Linked DNA regions of Cricetulus griseus. The protein of the gene in region 3 interacts with the protein of the main gene of each other region in a pairwise test. Links are inferred from orthologs where the notes say so. Each region holds a gene or a part of one and is shown on either strand. Other genes may lie near its edges.

What was found. The genes of interacting proteins can lie anywhere in the genome.
Region 1: the proteins of Sdcbp2 (region 3) and Npm2 interact in binary tests that used the Homo sapiens proteins (3 or more experiments, as listed by UniProt). The two-hybrid records come from large-scale screens. The link is inferred for Cricetulus griseus from reciprocal best matches to the Homo sapiens genes SDCBP2 and NPM2.
Region 2: the proteins of Sdcbp2 (region 3) and Zcchc10 interact in binary tests that used the Homo sapiens proteins (3 or more experiments, as listed by UniProt). The two-hybrid records come from large-scale screens. The link is inferred for Cricetulus griseus from reciprocal best matches to the Homo sapiens genes SDCBP2 and ZCCHC10.

The regions. Positions count from the first base shown.
Region 1 is NW_023276807.1:225,301,871-225,308,152, reverse strand, and holds the start of Npm2 (nucleoplasmin-2), read left to right. Parts: upstream 1-2,835; 5' UTR 2,836-6,282. UniProt on the Homo sapiens protein: Core histones chaperone involved in chromatin reprogramming, specially during fertilization and early embryonic development. Probably involved in sperm DNA decondensation during fertilization.
Region 2 is NC_048600.1:67,475,344-67,481,471, forward strand, and holds the start of Zcchc10 (zinc finger CCHC domain-containing protein 10), read left to right. Parts: upstream 1-2,681; 5' UTR 2,682-2,797; coding exon 2,798-2,838; intron 2,839-5,562; coding exon 5,563-5,721; intron 5,722-6,128.
Region 3 is NC_048599.1:28,470,799-28,477,164, forward strand, and holds the start of Sdcbp2 (syntenin-2), read right to left. Parts: upstream 4,030-6,366; 5' UTR 3,114-4,029; intron 1-3,113.

The DNA.
Region 1 (6,282 bases), on a different chromosome or scaffold from region 3:
CCTCCCCTCTGTCCCCATCCCTAAAGTGTTAGGACCTGCTTGTTTGAGATGATCCTAATCTTGTCCCTTATCTGTCCCAGCAACCAAAATGTGCTCCTTCCAAGCCAGGACCAATGGATCAGGTCACATCGTGATGGATGACAAGGATGTGGCTTATGGGCTGCAGATGCGTTTGCTGAAGACAGTAGGCGGAGGGTGGAAAGAGGCACTGAAATGAGGCGAGTCCCTGCGGAGAGCCCAGCTTGACCAGCCGCACCTGACACCGAGCAGAGCGGCCCCGGAAATGGTTCCGCACGCTCCTTGCGTCAGAAGGAGACGCTGTGCCTGGGTTGCATCTGGGCCATGCAGAATCCCCAGATTAGATCCCGCCCCTGTTCCGCGCACGCGCAGTAAGGACTTAAGCATCGGGTGGTTTCCGGCTGTAACAGAAAAGACTAATCTACTCCGGAAAGACCTTTCTCTGGGCCCTGTGCTTGCAGAAATTTGAGTCTGTTTACATCGCGTCCTCACACGGGTTTCCAGGTATCCGCAGCGATTGTCGCTGAGTCCCAGTCCCAAAGGAGTGCTGAAACAGCGGAGGCCTGTCGCAGACGCAAAGGGGTGCTCTGTGTAGTACAGCTCCCAGCGAAGCCCAGACCAAGGCACGACAGAAAGGCGTGAAACACCTTCGGAGGAATAGCAGAGATGATGTGGCCAGAGCGATAGAGCAGGCTTCTTTGTGTCTGAGTGAAGGATGGGCCTACAAGAGGTCGGGCTTTGATCCTAAAAGCCGGCTTCTTTAGCAAAGCAGCCCAGTAGCCAGTCTGCTTAACCAACCAGTCTAACGGACAGAGAGTGCGAACCAAGGGTAGGGCTGTGAGAAGGAAGTTGAGGAATATTGAGAGGCGGGTCAACACAACTTTTGTCTTGTGACCAACTGAATTTGACTGGTTTTCCTGTGGTTCCCTAGTTGCAGAATGGAGCGGTGCCTGACTGGGAAAAAGGAAGCCCTGGGCAAGACTAAGGAGCGGGTTGTAAAGAAGACAGTGCATTGGGTGAACCTGAGAGAAGAACCCGCTCCTGGAGATGTCAAAAACAATTCTTCAAAATAAATACCAGTCACACATAAATTCGGAAGAGGAGGAACACTTGGTTTTACTAAGAAAATATACTTCAAATACAAAACCCAAAGACATTAAGGAATAAAGCAAAAGAACATTTAGGGGGCTGGAGAAACAATTCAGTAGTTAAAAGGCACTGGGTGCTCTTGTAGACGACCCAGGTTCAATCTTCAGCACCCACATGGCATCTCATAACCGTCCATATCTCTAATTTTAGGGACTCAACATCGTTTGACCTTCTTGAGCAGAGGCATGTACATTGTGCCATCTTACACGCAGAGACTTACAAAATACCCATACACATAAAATATTTTAATTTAAAGCTTTTAGACTAATAGCTCATGAATTTAGATGCATTCTTACTAAAATGTAAACGTGTCTAAATCAACAATATATAAAAAGGAATACAACATAGTTAAGTGTGGCTGAGTCTAGAGTGCAAGGTTGATTTGACTTTCAAGAATAAGAGACTGGAGTGATGGTTCAGCAGTTAAGAGCGGTTGCTGCTCTCCCAGCACCCACATGGTTGCTCAAAACCATCTGTAACTCCAGTTACAGGGGATCTGACTGCCTCTCCTGGCCTCTGTGGGCACCAAGCACTCAGGTTCTCAGATATGCCATACAGACAAAACCTACATACACATAAAACTTTTTAAAATATTCTATTAAAAGCATAAATGTAACACCATATAAACTTAGGAAAAATTAGAGATCATTTTAGTAGATACAAGTGTAAACTCATAATATTAAATTTAAAAGCGGGAAAATGCTGTGGGGATATAGCTTATTTGGCAGAGTGCTAGCCTAGCATGCAAGAAGCCCTGGGTACAGTCCCTAGCACAGCATAAAGCCCAACAGAGTGGTTTTAAGGATCCAGGCATTATGCTGGCCAGCCTCTGTCACCTGGCAGAATGCACTCAGGCAATGCCCTGGTCAGCCCAGGGGCAAAGGACCCTTTTGAAAGACCTCCACCCACTTATGCTCTCTTTCCTACTGTTCCCCTGGGACAGACAGACAACTTTTCCTGTCTCCCTCTTCTGTCCTCTCTGTCTCTGTCTCTTTTTTATCTCCCCACCCCCTCGCCTTTCTGTCTGCCTGTCATGTTTGTCCCTCTGCCTAGGTCACCCTCGCCTGACATGGAATCCGCCAAGGTCCCCCTCAAGCTTTATCATAACATTGGTGCTGTGACTTGGCAGACAGGACATTTAAAGAGACAGAGTAGATTTAAAGTGGTGACATACTTTTAATCCCAGCAATTGGAAATGGAGGCAGAAAGATCAGAAGTTCGAGGTCATCCCCAGCTTCATAGTGAGTTCAAGGCCAACTTGGAATATGTGAGATCTTATCTCAAAAATAACTCGGCTAAGAAGGAATAGAAAATTTTTTTTGTGAGTGGTGGTACTGGGGAACAAACCTAGGGCCTTGTATGTGGTACTGAGTGTAATCCTAACACACACTCTTAACCTTAAAATCTACAAAAACCTTACCAACAACATACTTGAAGGTGGAAATGAGAGCTTTCCCCTTAAAGCAAAAGGCTATCTGGGTAGCATAGACCTGCAGTCCTAGCACTTGGAAGGCTGAGACAGGAAGGCTCAAACTTCAAGACCAGTCTGGAGAATGAATGAATGAATATATATATATATATATATATATATATATATATATATATATTCCATCTGTGTCTTGGACAGAAAGAGAGGGAGAAGGGGAGGAAAGAGACAGGCCAGATGTGGTAGTGCACACCTTTAATCCCAGCACTCAGGAAGCAGAGGGAGGTGGGTCTCTGAGTTTGAGGCCAACCTGATCTACATAGCATGTTCGAGGCTAGCCAGGGGTACATAGTGAGACCCTCTTTCAAGAAGAGTGGATGTTTTACCAAAGGCCCTAACCAAATGAATACAGCTCAAAAAGAAAGGGCACATAGATCTCAAAGAATGAACTTTGTCTTTATTCCCAATGTCATGATTTAGAGTACAAAAAAGCCACTGGAACTCAGAAGAGAGGACCAACATATAACAGTCTATTGTTTGTTCATGGGTTTTCATTTCCAGGTTATCATACATGGGTTTCACTATGGTACTTCATACAAATGTGCAATCCTTGGTTCTCATCTCTTCTGCATGTCCCCTTCACATCACCTAGGGAACTGTAACCTCTAGTTCCCTTTCTTCCCTACAAAAGCCAGTCTTGTGACATGCTTGTTTAACCTGCCCAAAACCTGGATTTGCCTAAATTTGTTCTCCACCACTGATGAGGGAAATAAAGGTTATTTGTATGTACTAAAAAAAAAAGTAGATTAAACTTTAAAATATATACCATTTTCCATGGCATCCAAGAACATGAAATACATATAATTTTAGATCTGTGCTAAAAGCTATAGAATAATGCCAAAGAAAATTAGACTGTAATGTGTTCATAAGTGGCTGACTCCAAAGACAGTGATGTCCATTGTCTTCATCATAGTGTGTTTTTTTGGTAGTTTGTTGTTGTAGAGACATAACACAGGGTTTCACACATGCTAGGCAAGCACTTTATCATGGAATTATATCTCCAGCTCCTGCCATTGATCTCTGCATTCAATAAAATCTGAAATTTTCTCAATAAGTACTTAACATTTTTATTGGTGTATAGTCATTGTGTATAGTGATGCATAAGGACTAGTTTTGTTTTGGTTTTGAGTCAGGGTCTTGTTAATGTAGCTCTGGCTGTCCTGGACTTTCACTCTCTAAACTAGACTGGCCTCAAACTCACAGAGATCTGCCTGCCTCTGCCTTCTAAGTGTTGTGATTAAAGGTGTGCTCCACTTCACCCAACTACATAAAGATATTTTCATGAATATACTTTGTTCAATAGAAACTTCAAAAGTCCTTTGTGTAGAAACTAGTATGCTGATTATGTATCTTGTGAAAATGCAAAGAATCTGAAATAGTTAAAAGTCTTTTTTTAGATATATTTTATGTATATGAACGTTTTTTGCCCATACATCCATACTTGTCTTGGAGGTCAGAAGATGGCATCAGATCCCTGGACTGGAGGTACAGACAGTTATGAACTACACTTTGGGTCTTTTGCAGTACCAACAAGTGCTCTTAACCACTGACTGAGCCATCTCTCCAGCCCCTAAAATATTTTCTTTTGGTGCTCAGGATGGAGCCCAGGGCCTTTCACGTAATAACCAAGTGCTCAACCACTCAATTATAGCCTCAGCCCTAAAAAAAAAAAAAATTAATAAAAAGACTGACTGGGGCACTCATGTTACCTGATCTCAAGATCTACTTTCCAGCCTATATGGCTCTAGTGCTAGGGTAGACATGCAGACCAATGAAACAGAAGACAGTTCAGAAAGAGACTGACATATGTGAATGATTACTTGACAACAAAGATGCCAAGATCAGTATGAGGAAGGAGTATTTTTCAGAATTGGTGTTAGAGGAACTGGTTATGTGTTTGGGGTTGGGGGAGGGGGCAGAAGGTGAGGGATCAACATTGAACCCTTCCTACTACATACATAAAAATGAGCTCAAACTGATGTGATAGCACATGCCTGGAGTCTGGGATACTCAGGAGGCCAAGACAGATGGTCACAAGTTCAAGGCCATCCTTTGCAGTATGAGATGGAGTTCATGACCCCTGGGGAAATCAATCCAGACTATAATTAGTTAAATTTATTAAAGATGCTAGCAGGACAATACTCTCAATACTAATTGAGATTGCTTCGGGAAAGGGGAGTGAGGGAAAGGTTTTTAAAGGAGAAGACCTTGAGTATCTGCTCAATCAAGGCAAGAGCTGTTCTGTTCTCAGGGTCATATAGTCAAGGTGACCTCAGAATGGTCCTTGAAGGCCTACAAAAGCAGGTTACAGAAGCAAAAAAAAGTCATATTGTTTTGTGTTTTTTTTTTTCAAGACAGGGTTTCTCTGTGTAGCCCTGGCTGTCCTGGAACTGGCTCTGTAGACAAGGCTGGCCTCGAACTCACAAGAGATCCACCCTCCTCTGCCTCCCAAGTTCTAAGATTACAAGCATGTGCCAGGAGGCCCAGCCAAGGTTGTATATTTTTACATGGGGGTGACTAAATCAGGGTTACTGAGACTGGAGTCAGAGACAGCTAGTGGGTACCAGAATGGATGCCTAGCATAAAAGGGAGTTTCTTTAGCAATCGCAATACCATCTCAGAAAAGTTAAATCAAAATACATCATACACCTAAGAGTCAAAGCTAAAATTAGAATCAGGTGTGGTGGTGACCACCTCTAATCCTAACACTTGGGAGGGAAAGGCAAAAGAATCTTAAGTTTAAGAACAGCCTCACTACACATAACAAGACCTTGTCTCAAAAAGGAAGGGAGGGAGGGAAAGAGAGAGAGAAAGAATATATAATTTGACCTGAAAAAAAACTTTGGAATATGTACATTTGACACAAAACAAATATCCATTATATATAAAGAACCTCCACTGAGCAGTGGTGGCACATGCCTTTAATCCTAGCACTTAAGAGGCAGAGGCAGGTGGATCTCAAGGCCAGCCTGGTCTACAAAGTGAGTTCCAGGACCAGGACTGTCTCAAAAAAAAAAAAAGGAAGGAAGAAAATGCCACTTTGATCATAACCAATAATCAGTTCAATATTCAACATCCCTTATCGTTAAGGAAGTTCAAATTAAAAACTACAATGAAATGCTACCAACAGGCTCAGTGGGAGAGCATTTCCTTAGAGGGAAAGAAAAACAAAATAAAATACATCCTCTAGAATGGCTTAACGTAAGAACCCCAGCAATGCCACACATGTAGAATCCAATGACAGTCTCTAAGAAGCAAAGACACCTTCTCTTTTGGGAACCTCAGTAAGTCCCAGCTGGGTGTGAACAGTGGCTCGCATGGGGCTTCCTTCTGGGCCAGCAGCAGCAGCTTCACCTGGAAACCGGTAGGTAGTGCAAATTCTCTTGGTCCCACCTAGACCTGCTCAATGGGAAACAGAGGAGGCAATGAACAACAATGAAGTACCAGGTGATTCCAGCGCAGGAGGGCAGGAAGGAGGAAGAAGGGCTACTTCTTTAAGGCTAATTGGGACCCTCCCATTCCGCCTCCCCTTCTCTTTCCCAGGCTTCTTAACACCCTGGTGTGGGAAGCTGGCCCTTAGCTGAAGCTCGAATGGCCTGCAGTTGGAGGTAAGGCCCATGACTGGCAGC
Region 2 (6,128 bases), on a different chromosome or scaffold from region 3:
AATGTAGAACTTCACATACACTTCAGTAAGTAATACATTCCTGATTAAGCAAATAAAATGCTTGGATATGGAGCACAGAGTTGATTGTCCTTGCCATGAGGAATCAGTAGTGGCTTCTGACTTCAGTTAGTTTTTCTCTCCCCTTGGCAGCTTGCATGATTTGATGGAGAAGCCTCTGATTCGCAGTGTCACTCAGCTCTCTGCCTTTGTTGGGATCTGAACATATTAATTGCACAGATCTTGCAGAAAGGTCCTCTCCAAGCATGGAGTGCGTCTTTTTGGTTTTGTTGTTTAGCTATTTTTTTTTCCTGACATGTTCCTTATAGAAACATAAGTCATTCCAGTGACCTGTTACTTATGGAACCTCCTGCCTCACTACGGGAGGATTGAGAGTTCAAGGCAAGCATGGCCTACCAAACCAGACCAGACTCTATATTAAAAATTAAATTAAACTAAAAAAAAAACTTTTAAAAAAATCCCAGTATTCAGGAGATAGAGACAGGCAGATAGCTGCTTGAGAATACTCTGATCTACAAGGATTCCAGGCTAGCTAGTGCTAATTCTCAAAAAAAAATTATTTTCAGTTAAAATAAAAAACTGGGCTAAACACGTAGCTCAAGTGGTTCAATGCAAGCCCAGTGTGCAAGAAGCTCTGGGTCCAATTCCCAGTACCACACCAACTGAAAACTGTGGTTCACAGATATAATCCTAGCACTTGAGAAGTAGAAGCAGGAGGATCAGAATTTCAAGGTTATTCTTTGCTATGTAACAAATTGGAAATCAGCCTGGACTTTGGATATCCTTGTCTCAAGAAACAAAAGAGCCAGAGGTGGAGGCACATACCTTTAATCTCAGGTACCTGGGAGGCAAAGGCAGGAAGATCTCTTATTATAAGTTTGAGGCCAGCCTGATCTACAGCCAGAGCTGTTGTCAAAAGGGGGGAGGGGCAAATTAATTTATTGTAATGAAGTTATGGTGATAACTTAAGAATCAAAGGACAAATGGGGGAATGAAGGGACCAGCTCCCCATTTTGGCAGCCATGATAGTAACACATGCTTGCCATGACTTTGTCCTAATCACTAGAAGTCAGATGCCTGCCTCGTGGCAAGGAACCAATCAGAAGTTAGCTGGCAGCGCTCTGGGTGTGCTTTACGGACAAGTGCACAGCAATGACACGCAGAGCATAGCAACTACCCTGGGAGGGCCTATGGGCCATAACAACCAATTGGCCAATCAACACAGGACAAGCCCTCCAAGCCTGGAGGCACACCAATCCTGAGCCTGTGCGTACCCCTAGATACTCCCCTTACGCTGCCCTACAAGATCTCTCGGCAGCTGGTTCGAGCTGTCTTTGCTAGCCATCCGCCATGGCAGGTGGGTGAAAGACCCGAGCTAACATGGGGTTAGCTCGTTAAACAACAATAAAGCCTCATGCAATTTGCAGGAAAATAAAAAAAAAAAAAGAATCAAAAGACAAGATAGCCAAGTGTAGGAAGGTCTATTCCTTTTTGTTTCTTCAGCATATCAGCTTCCTTCTCTATTTCTGCAGACAAGCTCCCTTGCATTATTTATTATTCTCTATCTTTGTGTTGTTAATCCCACCATTCGAGAATAAGACCACTATTAGAGTTGTAAAAAAAAAAAGGCCAAAATAGCCATTTAAAAACCATGTTCTTTCCCTGGCCCTTTAATTCTATAGCCTGAGCTGACATTGAACTCCTAGAGATCTGCTATCCTCTGCCCAAGTGCTAGGATTAAAGGCTTGTGCCACCAGGGCATAATTTTGTTTGTTTTTGTAAGGAAAAAGGCCCAGCCAAACAAACACATCCTGAGCAGAGCCAAAGAAATACACTTTGGCCCTGCAACCAGAACCAAAGAAATGTACCCTGACCCTGAAACCAGTGCCAAAGAAACACACTTTGTCCCTGGAATCAGAACCAGTGAAAGAAATATACTCTGGCCCTAAAATTGGAGCCCAAAGGCTAAAAAGGACCAGTGAAAGAAACACACTTTGGCCCTGAAACCAGAGGCAAATCTGACCCTAAACCTTCGAGAAAACTAACCAATCCCTGAGCAGGAGATCTACCCATTATAAACCCAGGCATTGAAATCTGACCAATCTCCACCCTGGAAAAACTCTGCCCCTAAGAAGCCCTATATAAACCCTGTGCCTAGCCCGGCGTTGGTGGCACACGCCTTTAATCCCAGCACTGGGGGATATTTTGAGATAGGATTTCTTTGTGTAATAGCCCTGGCTGTCCTGAAACTCACTCTGTACACCAGGCTGGCCTTGAACGCGAGATCTGCCTGCTTCTGCCTCTGGAGTACTGGGATTAAAGGTGTGAGCCACTACTGCCCTGCTTTAATTTTTTTTTTTTCTGAGATAGGTTCGTATATAAGCTAGCCTCAACATTTTACAACTCACTGAGACCAGCCTGACTTTGCCTTCTGAGTGCTGAAATTAAAAGAGTGGTCAGCCAAGCCGGAATTTTGTTTTGAATCAGGGTCTTAACTGTTTTCAAGATTGGCCTTGAACACATAGCAACCCTCTTCCCTCGGTCTCGAGAACGCTGGGATTACAGGTTTTCTGAACGCTAATTTCACCCTTCAAGGTCCTAATCATATTCATACTAAACACAAGGCCCACATTTGACATAACACACCAGCGGGGGGCCACCAATCACCTCTGTTGGGATAAACCGGTCTGGCTCCGCCCACGGCCGTGGAGGTTTGAAGGCCCCGCCCCATCCTTCGGAGTTTCCCAAAAGCCTGTGCGGCAGGCTCGGCAGCTCCAAGATGGCGACTCCCATGCATCGGCTGATAGCTCGGAGACAAGCGTAAGTGAGACGACGCCCAGTGGGGTCTGCGAGAGGGCTGTGGGTGTGGAGACGCCAGTCCGCTAGTTAGTGAGCTGGCGCGGGCTGCGGGACTGAGCGGGCTCGGAGAGTCCGAAATGAATCCAAGGGTTGTTGGTTGTGTGGTTTATGATCCTCTGTCCGTCTCACACGTTTGTCAAGGTAGCCTGGATGCCTGATTCCCACACCTTCACTCCCGAGGACCCAAACTTCTCCCACTTATTCCTTTGCAGCATTTCCGGTCTCCTTCCTACCGCCTTTCCTAGAAACAAGCCTGTCTACAATGCCTTTACTCTTTTCCCATCTACCGACTCACTTTCTGCGACTCTCTCCTTCAGTAAATAGTTCTTTTAGTACCTACCACTCCATGCCTTTTTTTTTTTCAGTGAAGAAAAATGTTCGGGACACGCAGCTTATAGTCTAAATGTGGAACCAGTTAATCCTCTGAACAAGTACAGTTGGTAGTTTTAAAAATCTTTGTAGGAAATAAGAGGCTGTGATGGGAATACGGGAAAGGCTTCTTCAAATTAGTTGGACTGGAAATACATTAGTGGAGGGGTGACATTTCAAGACAGGCTGAAAGGCGTAGGAAAGACCGAGTCACCAGAGGGCTTGGGAAAAGAAACGCTAGACAATGGTATAATTGCTTTGAGGCGGTGAGAACTTTTTTTTTCTGTCAAAGCTAGCTAGCTGTTTAAGAATTAATAAATTTACACCTTTATTTAATCTCTCTCAATCTGGTAAGAATTTTGTTTAGGAAACTTGATGGCCTATAACAGGCGAACGCTTCCTTTAATTTCTTTTGCTCCCATTCTTTATTTTTGATTGGTGTTTCGAGACAGGGTCTTTTCACATAGCCCTGTCTGTTCTGAAATTTGCTTTGTGGCCAGGCTGTACTCTAACTCCGAGATCCACCTGCCTCTGCCTCCCACGCGCTGGGATTAAAGGTTTGAGCCACCATCCCTGGCCATAGCCCAGGACTTTAATCCCAGCACTTAGCCCAAGGTTAGCCTGATCTACATATCTAGTTCCAGGACATTCAGAGCTGCATACTGAGACCATGGCTCAATAAACAAATAAAATTTAAAAAACCTTAATTTTAACAGTGCTAAATTAAGTTACTAGGATCTCATTTCACCCCTTTTCTCTCTTAAACTGGTTCTTTTGGATCCAGACTTAGGCTACTTAAGTGACAAGATGGCTTGTTTTGTTTTGTCTTGTTTTTCGACACAGGGTTTCTTTGTAACAACCCTAGCTATCCTGGAATTCACTTTTGTAGAGCAGGCTGGCTTGGAACTCAGAAATCTACCTGTTTCTGTCTCCTGAGTACTGAGATTAAAGGCATGTGCCACCAAACTTGGCAAGACCTCATCTTAAAACAAAACCTCCCAGCAATGTTATGTTCACCCTCTGTATGGCCATGTGATAGTGGCATGTTGGATTTAAAGTTATGTGAAACTGAAAGGAAAATACTGTTTATGGATCTATTACCTGCTTGCTTTTAACTTTCTTGCTTTTGATGTAAGCTGTGATTTATTAGTCATAAACCTGAGTATTGGGCCAGATGTGTTAGATCATGCCTTTATTCCTAGCACTCAGAAGGCAGAAACAAGTGGATCTCTGAGTTTAAGGCTAGCCTGGTCTACAGAGTTTCAAGACAACTGGGGCTATTAACATATAGAAACCCTATTGTGTGACCGGGCGTTGGTGGAGCACCCCTTTAATCACAGCACTTGGGAGGCAGACGCAGGCGGATCTCTGTGAGTTCGAGGCCAGCCTGGTCTCCAGAGTGAGTGCCAGGATAGGCTGCAAAGCTACACAGAGAAACCCTGTCTCGAAAAACAAAAAAAAGAAAAAAAGAAAAGAAACCCTGTTCTGTGTGTTGGGGGTGGGGGGCGGTTTAAGTGTGTGTGTATAGGAATTGAGGCCAGAGGAACTTGTTGGGGTCAGTTCTCTGCTCCTTCCACCATACAGATCCAGGGATCCAACTCAGATCTTCAGGCATATAGGAAGCACCCTTACCCACCCAGCCATCTCCCATCCTTAAAAGTGTTTTAATGGGTTAGTGGTCTACCTTGGTGGTAGTATTTGCTCCGTGTGCATGTAGGAGGCCCTGAGTTTAATATCTATCTAGCACTACAAAGAATAAAGTAAAATAAAAGTCTGTAATTATCCTTTGCATTCTGAACTAAAAATGTTGCTCTGAGTGCATCATTACTGGAAAGCAAAAACAATATTTGTTTTTATGTGTTTGTTTTGCTTTGAGACAGGATCTCTCGATCTGTAGCTCAGGCTACAGCCATTCTCCTGCTTTAGCCTGAAAAGTGAAGGATTACAAGCATGAAACACCACACTGGGCTTAAAGAAGCCAAGATTTGTTCTGTTAATCCCAGGTTGCATGCATTGATCCACATAACTATTTCTGTGTCTGTTAGAGTAAACATCACTATATGCCTTTATAGGTCAGAAAGTATTACAAGACAAAGCTACTTTTTTGTTATTGTTTTTTGTTTGTTTGTTTTTTAAGACAGGATTTTGCTGTGGCTTTGGAGGCTGTCCTGGAACTAGCTCTTTAGACCAGGCTGATCTTGAACTCACAGAGATCCACTTGCCTCTGCCTCCCGAGTACTGGGATTAAAGGCATGTGCCACCAACGCCCAGAGAAGACAAAACTTCTAAGACTTATATTCTGTTTATTCTTTGTAGTGAAGCCAATAAGCAACATGTAAGATGTCAGAAATGCTTGGAATTTGGACATTGGACTTATGAGTGCAAAGGAAAAAGAAAGTACCTCCACAGGCCTTCAAGAACAGCAGAGCTGAAGAAAGCTTTAAAAGAAAAAGAAAATAGATTGTTGCAGCAAAGGTAAGTTTACATGTGGTATCCAGAGGAAGTTACCCAAATATTTACATTATTGATTAAGGGCTGAAAGTTTTGTTTTACTAGTAGCTGAATTTCTTGTTTATTTTGGGTTTTGGACATTGTCTCACTATGTATCTCAGGCTGGTCTCAAATTTGCAGTCCTCCTGTCTGAATTCTGAGTGCTGGGATTACAGTGTGTGCCACCAATCCAGTTTATACTAGTATTAGTTGATTTTAATCAATGGTTACTGTGTCAGACACTATACTGTGCTTTTCACAAGTGTTAGCATATCTAAACCTCCAATCCCTACTAGTGAGGTAGCCATTTTAACCGATTTGTGTGCTCACACGAGCTTGTGCATCTGCACGTTTCACAAAAGCTCACCAGACTGCTCTTTATGATGTTAGGG
Region 3 (6,366 bases):
CCGGACAGGAAGACCCTCCTCACGTGAAGCGACTCGGTGGTTCTCCCGAGAGCCCCTTGTTGATCATAGCTCGACGCCCCGTTTGACTTAGGGCACTGAGGCAGCAGCAATGGGTGGGAGAGGAGAGCAGAGTTTACACCATGCTCCACTGTTAGTTCTGAAAAGGAGATTCCCTCTCCCTTTGATTTAGAAGCGCCTTCAAATCCCTAGGTGTTGCCTCTGGTGTCGCCCCCCTCTCCCACGCTCTCGGGATTCTGCCATAGCCCTGACTCTTGACATGCCCTACTTAAAAATGCACCCCTCTCCCAAAGGCACCAGCCACCAGAGATGGAACCATTGCACATCGGCAGCCCAGGGAAGTGGACTTGGCTGAGGGATCACCTTCCACAGAAAATCAGACCGAGCTCCCTTTGTAAGGAGGGCAGGAAAATATCTGGAAAAGCAGGAAAGCCTCCTCGAGGGAGAAGACCCGCCAATGACCGTGAAGGGTGGAAAGTTTAAGCCAATGAAAGTAAAAGTGTGCTATTCCCGGATAGGGAGACCCAGGCCAGAGTTCCACCTGCTGTTTAGATATTTATTACCTTCAAGATGTTTTCTTGAAGTTTTCCCAAATCTTGACTGTATCCCCACCAAATACACTCATGGGCTGAGCCAGAAATCTAGGAGTTGCCCTCAGCCCCTGCCTTTACCTTTTGGCGAAGCCACACCTAGCTCTTGACATCAGAATTAATCTCAGACTTCAATATGACTTTAAAATTTAATTTCATGACTGAATCCTGGAGGGCATGTCTCTATTGCTCACTGCATTTCACTCATTTCAAACTGTTTGCTGGTTGTAAAACTCAGCCTGCTAGCCCATGCCTTTGTGCTTTGGGAGTGCTGTTTTCTCTGTCTTAAATGCCACCCACAGTTCATATGGCGAATTGTTCAGCTCTAAGCCTCCCTCTGAATCCTACACCACACAACCCCCAAGGATCGTCAAACCTCTTCTCCCTAGACCACAACATCTCATGTATTCCCTAGTCATTGTTCATTCCACAAATGTTTAGGAAGCTCTGACCCAGGCCTTTTGCATTTCCTAAATTGAAATTTCACCAAGCTGTATTTGTTTGCCTGTCATCCTCATTAGCTGGTGTGAATTTCCAGAACCAAGCCTTCATAAAGTTACAAGAGGAGAAAAGCAGACATAGGGAAGAGAATTCCGTGACCTAGTGGGTATCTATTTCCTCCCAGTTGAAACAACATTCCCTCCTGGAAGGGAGTAGGAGGCCTATAGGCCTCAGGAACCTAAGGAAGCATACAACACTCTGAGGAGCTCAGAAAGCTATGATTCACAAAGCCCTCCCCAAGGTTATATAAGCAGTGAACAGTTGCCTGGGAGAGAAGACTCTTCTGGGGAGCTATCTGCTGTCATCACCTGTGCTGGGGTGGGCTCTCCTGCGATGGAGCTGCCTTTGAGTCACCTAGATTCCTTTAAGCCCACTAAACTCCTTGGTTCACTACAGTAGGCATGGGATCTTTGAGTTGGCCTGTCATTTGTTCTGTCTGAGGTGAATAGACATTTGTTCACATCTCCCAGAAATGTCACCTGACACCTAGATAAACATGCTTCCAATTACCACCTGTAGAAAGTCCTTTGAAGAATAACTGGGTGTAGAAAGGGAAACTACAGCCCTATGAGTTACACATAAAATAGTATGATAATGAAAGTTTGTTCAGTTTCTACAAGTTGTTGGCTTCTTAGAAGGGAACCAGCCCATCCAGTCCTTGCTCCTGGAGGGACTTCCCTTCCCCCACAACACCTTACAGATATCCATCCCAGAGCTTTCTACACCTCTTCAAATTGTAAGCAATAATAACACCCACAGCGTATCAGCAGTCAGGCTCTGTGGAATCAGCGGGGCTGGAAAGGGGCCCATCAGCCCCCATCTTTGAACTTAAAAGAATGAGAACACTTTGTTCTAAACTGCTGGAACTCTGGGACTCCCACTTGTTCCTGTGGACAACTCATCCATCCTTCAGAAAAAGCAGAAGTGTGGGTTAATGTGGTGGAGTAATAGCTCCTGTAAGGCCAAATTAACCCAGGGATCTGGTGAATCGGCAAGGAGGGGGCTGTTGCTAAGCCACAACATGTGCCCTCTCCTTTCAGGGCTGCACTGCTAGAGGGAACTAGGAAACGCTGTTCCCTCAGTGAAGGACCAGGGGAGGCAGAGCAGAGGCTGGGACGTTAGAGAGAGGCTCAACCTACTGCCTACCTCTGACTGTAAGAACAAACAATGGGCAAGGCTCTATGTCATTTCTGTTGTAATAACAGTAATAACACTTTCACCACAGACTATTCGAGGCATGAGAAGATTAAAAGAGATCCACATAAAGAATATTTAGCACAGTACCTAGCACAAATAGGCAACTCCGTAATAGCTGTCTGCTCATCCCACATGCATTTATTAGATTTCCCTGAGTCCAGGTACTGTTTGGGATGCCAGCTGTACAAAGTGAGCAAAATTATCACTCCATGAGGTAGGGACTTCGTATTGGATTAAAAAGCTCCAAAAACCTTGTAGGCTGTGTCAGATGGTGAGAAGATCTGGGGAGGAGGAGGAGAGCAGAGAGTGGCAGTAGGACTCGGGGAGGCTTTCTGTAGGGATGAGAGACAGTTGAGTAAAAGCTTAAAGTGGCAGAAAGGCAGTGCCACTGCACAAACCCTGAGGTGAGTGCCCTCTGTGGCTAGGGACACCTGAGGGAGAAAACCAGAGAAGTGGGCAGACGTCCAGATTTGGAGAGCTTGAAGGTCTCGGTGAGGATTTGGGCCTTTCTTGAGTGAGAGACTAGGGAAGTCTGAGCATCAGAGAGCCACAGCCTTTGGGGCCTCCTGGCTAATAGTTGTGGGATAGATATGAGGTAAGGGTAGATGCATAGACTAGTGTAGAAAATCATTCATACTTCAAACCCTGCCTGGGCCTGGGGTCAGAAAAGGAAAGCTTTGTCCCCATTTCATTCCAAGAGTGAAGCAAGTTTTTTAAAAGACTAGAAGACAGGACAAGGGAGGGAAAGAAATGATGGTGAGCAGGTCTTGTTTAGCTCCTGTCCCAGCCAATACAGTCTGTTCTTACCTGCTGGCTCGATGCTCTGTATCTGGCTCCAGTCACTGCAGAGTCTCTTGGGATGTGCTGGTGGCCTGTGTCCCAGCTGGATTCCTGTTCCAGGAAGGGTGGTGCCCGCCCCTTGTTCAACTGACTCACATGGACTGGGATAGGCCCAGGTTAGGCTGTGTGGCTACGTAAACAGAGCAGTCACCAGGCCCACATGAGGCCTTTGCCTTAATCTAGATTCAGAGGTGGGGTTAAGGACACAAGGCTGATATGAGTAGGTGTTGTACAAATGAGTACAAACTAGGGTTAACTGGCCCTATGAGGAAGTCAGCACTGGCTGTAGAGGACTCACTCTGCTGGAGGGAAAGTCAGTTGGCTGGAGAGCAGGGTTTTTTACAGTGGCCATGTTTTGTAACCTAGTATATTTCTTAGAAATGTATTGCAATGAAGTCTCTGGGTCCACCACTGTGTGTTTCTTTTAGTAAAGCCAATCGGGAAATCCCAGATGCTTGACATTGGTTAAAGGAGTCAGCAATCTGTGGAAGATGACAAAATTATTAAATCATGTAAGGAAGTTGCCAGGAGGAACTATAACCACGGCACTAGTGAGACTGTGAGAAATCACATCAAGGTCCTACCCTCTGGTTTTGTTGTCAGAAAAGCTTGTTTGCCTGCAGGCAGCTGAGGAAGACAATTTCAAATGCAGAGTGGCTCTAGATGGGAACTGAGGTCTCTTCCCTTTCTCCTTTCTCTTGTTCATTCCTTCTCTGAGATGTTAGGAGTCAAGTTTTACACTCCTGAGCAAATGCTACAAATGCTAGCCTGACATCTCCAGCCCTGGTGAGCTTTTCAGTTTGTACTTTTGTATGGGTTTCAATGATGGTAGGTAGGAGTGTGTGTGTGTGTGTGTGTGTGTGTGTGTGTGTGTGTGTGTGTGTGTGTGTGTGTGTGTGTGTGTGTGTGTGTGTGTGTAGCATACTGGCCTCCATGTGCATGTAGAGACCAGAGATTGACACTGCCTTCTTCCTCTCTCTATTCCTTTCCACTTTAGTTTTGAGACAGATCTCTGAACCTAGTGCTCACCATTCTGGGTAGCCTGGTTGTCCAGCAAGTCCCTGGGATCTGTCTCTACACCCCTGGTGCTGGAGTTACAGACATATGCTGTTGTTCATAGCTTTTACATTGGTGGTGGGGTCCACATTACCCACTGAACAATCCAGCCACCTGTGCTTATGATTTTCCTAAGAAATTGAGTAAACATGTTTGTTTATTTTTTTAATTTTGTCTCTTGTAAGGGGAATGAAGGAACTGTGTTGAGGTTGTGTTGGAATAGGACAGTTTTTCTTCCTTTTCCTTTGTCACTTTGCTTTGTTGTTGGTGGTGATTAGTTTTGACACAGGGTCTCCCTATGTATAGTCTTGGCTGCCTCTGACAACCAGGTGCTAAGTTTAATGTTTGTGCCGCCATGTCCAGCTTCTTTGTGCTCTTTACATTTTGAAATTTTTAAATGTATATTTATCCCATTAAATTATCATATGCAAGTCAAGTTAAACAGAAGAGGAGGAGGAATTCCTGGTGGGTATAGTTGGATGACTTTGTCTAGGGAGGGACCTAGGAGTCATGTGCTGGGCAATCCCCTAAGCAATGACGCAGGTCACCTACCTACTCAGGGTGGGGTGAGTATCAGGGATGCTTGCCAGGCAGGCTCACTTCACAGTTCCCATGATGAGCCTGGCAGGATTGTATTAACAGCAGATCCTGAGGCACTGCCTGACTGTGAGGAGCCTACAGCATAGAGTGCCACACAAGGAACACATCCAGGAATGGTGACACCCCTTTGCACATGGCCTTTTGCCTCTGACTCTAAGAATCATCATTTTGTGTTGCTCATGTTCCCAAAGGCTGAAAATTGACCTGTGGTTCCCTGAGAGCAAAGCCTACATGTTAGCTCTACAAAAGATGTTCTCAAAATAAATACTGGAACCAGGGCTATGACCAGGATTTGATTTTTTTATAGACTTCCATGAATAATTTTAATAGGTTTAAAACATTGGTGGCTAAATGTACAGCATTCATTTAGAAACTCCCCGCAGTACTGTGGCAGACCTGAGCAATCAGCCACTGCACCTTCGCGCTTAGCTCATGGCTTGTTCAGAATCCTCTGTGCATGCAGGGCGGTGGTGGCACATGCCTTTAACCCCAGCACTCGGGAAGCAGAGGCAGGCAGATCTCTGAGTTTGAGACCAGCCTGGTTTACATAGTGAGTTCCAGGACAGCCAGAACTATATAATAGAGAGACCTTGTCTCAAACATATATACACACTTGTGTCTACATGTGTCCTTGAAGGGAGAGGTGTTAGAGGAAAGAACGTTGGAGATACCTGTAGGAAGAGGCAATGGAGAAAATGGAGCTGGGGACAACTGATTGTCACCATTCTGAAGTAGCAACAGCAAGATGGATAGTTTCCTTAAATCAGGTTGGCCATTTCTCTACTTACCAGGCTATTTACAAACTTTACAGAGTTGTATAATATGAAGTGAATTTTGAAAACATTCCTAAAGCTGATCATGGTAATACATGCATTTGAGAACTAAAGTAGAATGATTTCCTTGGGTTGGAGATCATCTTGGGCTATGTAATGAATGCAGGCCAGTCAGGGATACATAGCAACTCTGTCTCAAAAGAGCAGACATGGGGATGGGGAGGAGTGCTGTGAAAAGCTGTCCTCGGCTGCTGCACACATAAATCCACTGTAGCTGTGGACACCTGTATGCATTCGAGCCAGGTAAACTTCCAATATGGACCATGGAGGGCCTACCCAAGGCCCTATCCCTAGCCAAGGACCTACTGGAAATTGATGCAAGACCTCTCTCTCTCTCTCTCTCTCTCTCTCTCTCTCTCTCTCTCTCTCTCTCTCTCTCTCTGGAACTCACTAAGTAGACTAGGCTAGCACAGGACTCACAGAGATCTACCTGCCCCTGCCTCCAAGTGCTGGGATTAAAGGTGTGCGCCACCATGCCCAGTCTGGGAGCCACTTTTATTTGGAAAAGCCTTTTAGTGAACTTGAGACCCTTCAGAAATTAATGGTTATGTGAATATCCATTTAAACCTTAAGCTTTTAAACATAAGACATGGTTGGGGAGTATATTATGAAAATCTACAGACAGCTGAAGATTGACATTTTTAGCTGAAATCGGAATTTCAAATGAAAATGAAAGTTCTTCAGCTGAAGTCTGAAGGCTGTAGGAAGGATAAACTTGTTATGGTCTAGTC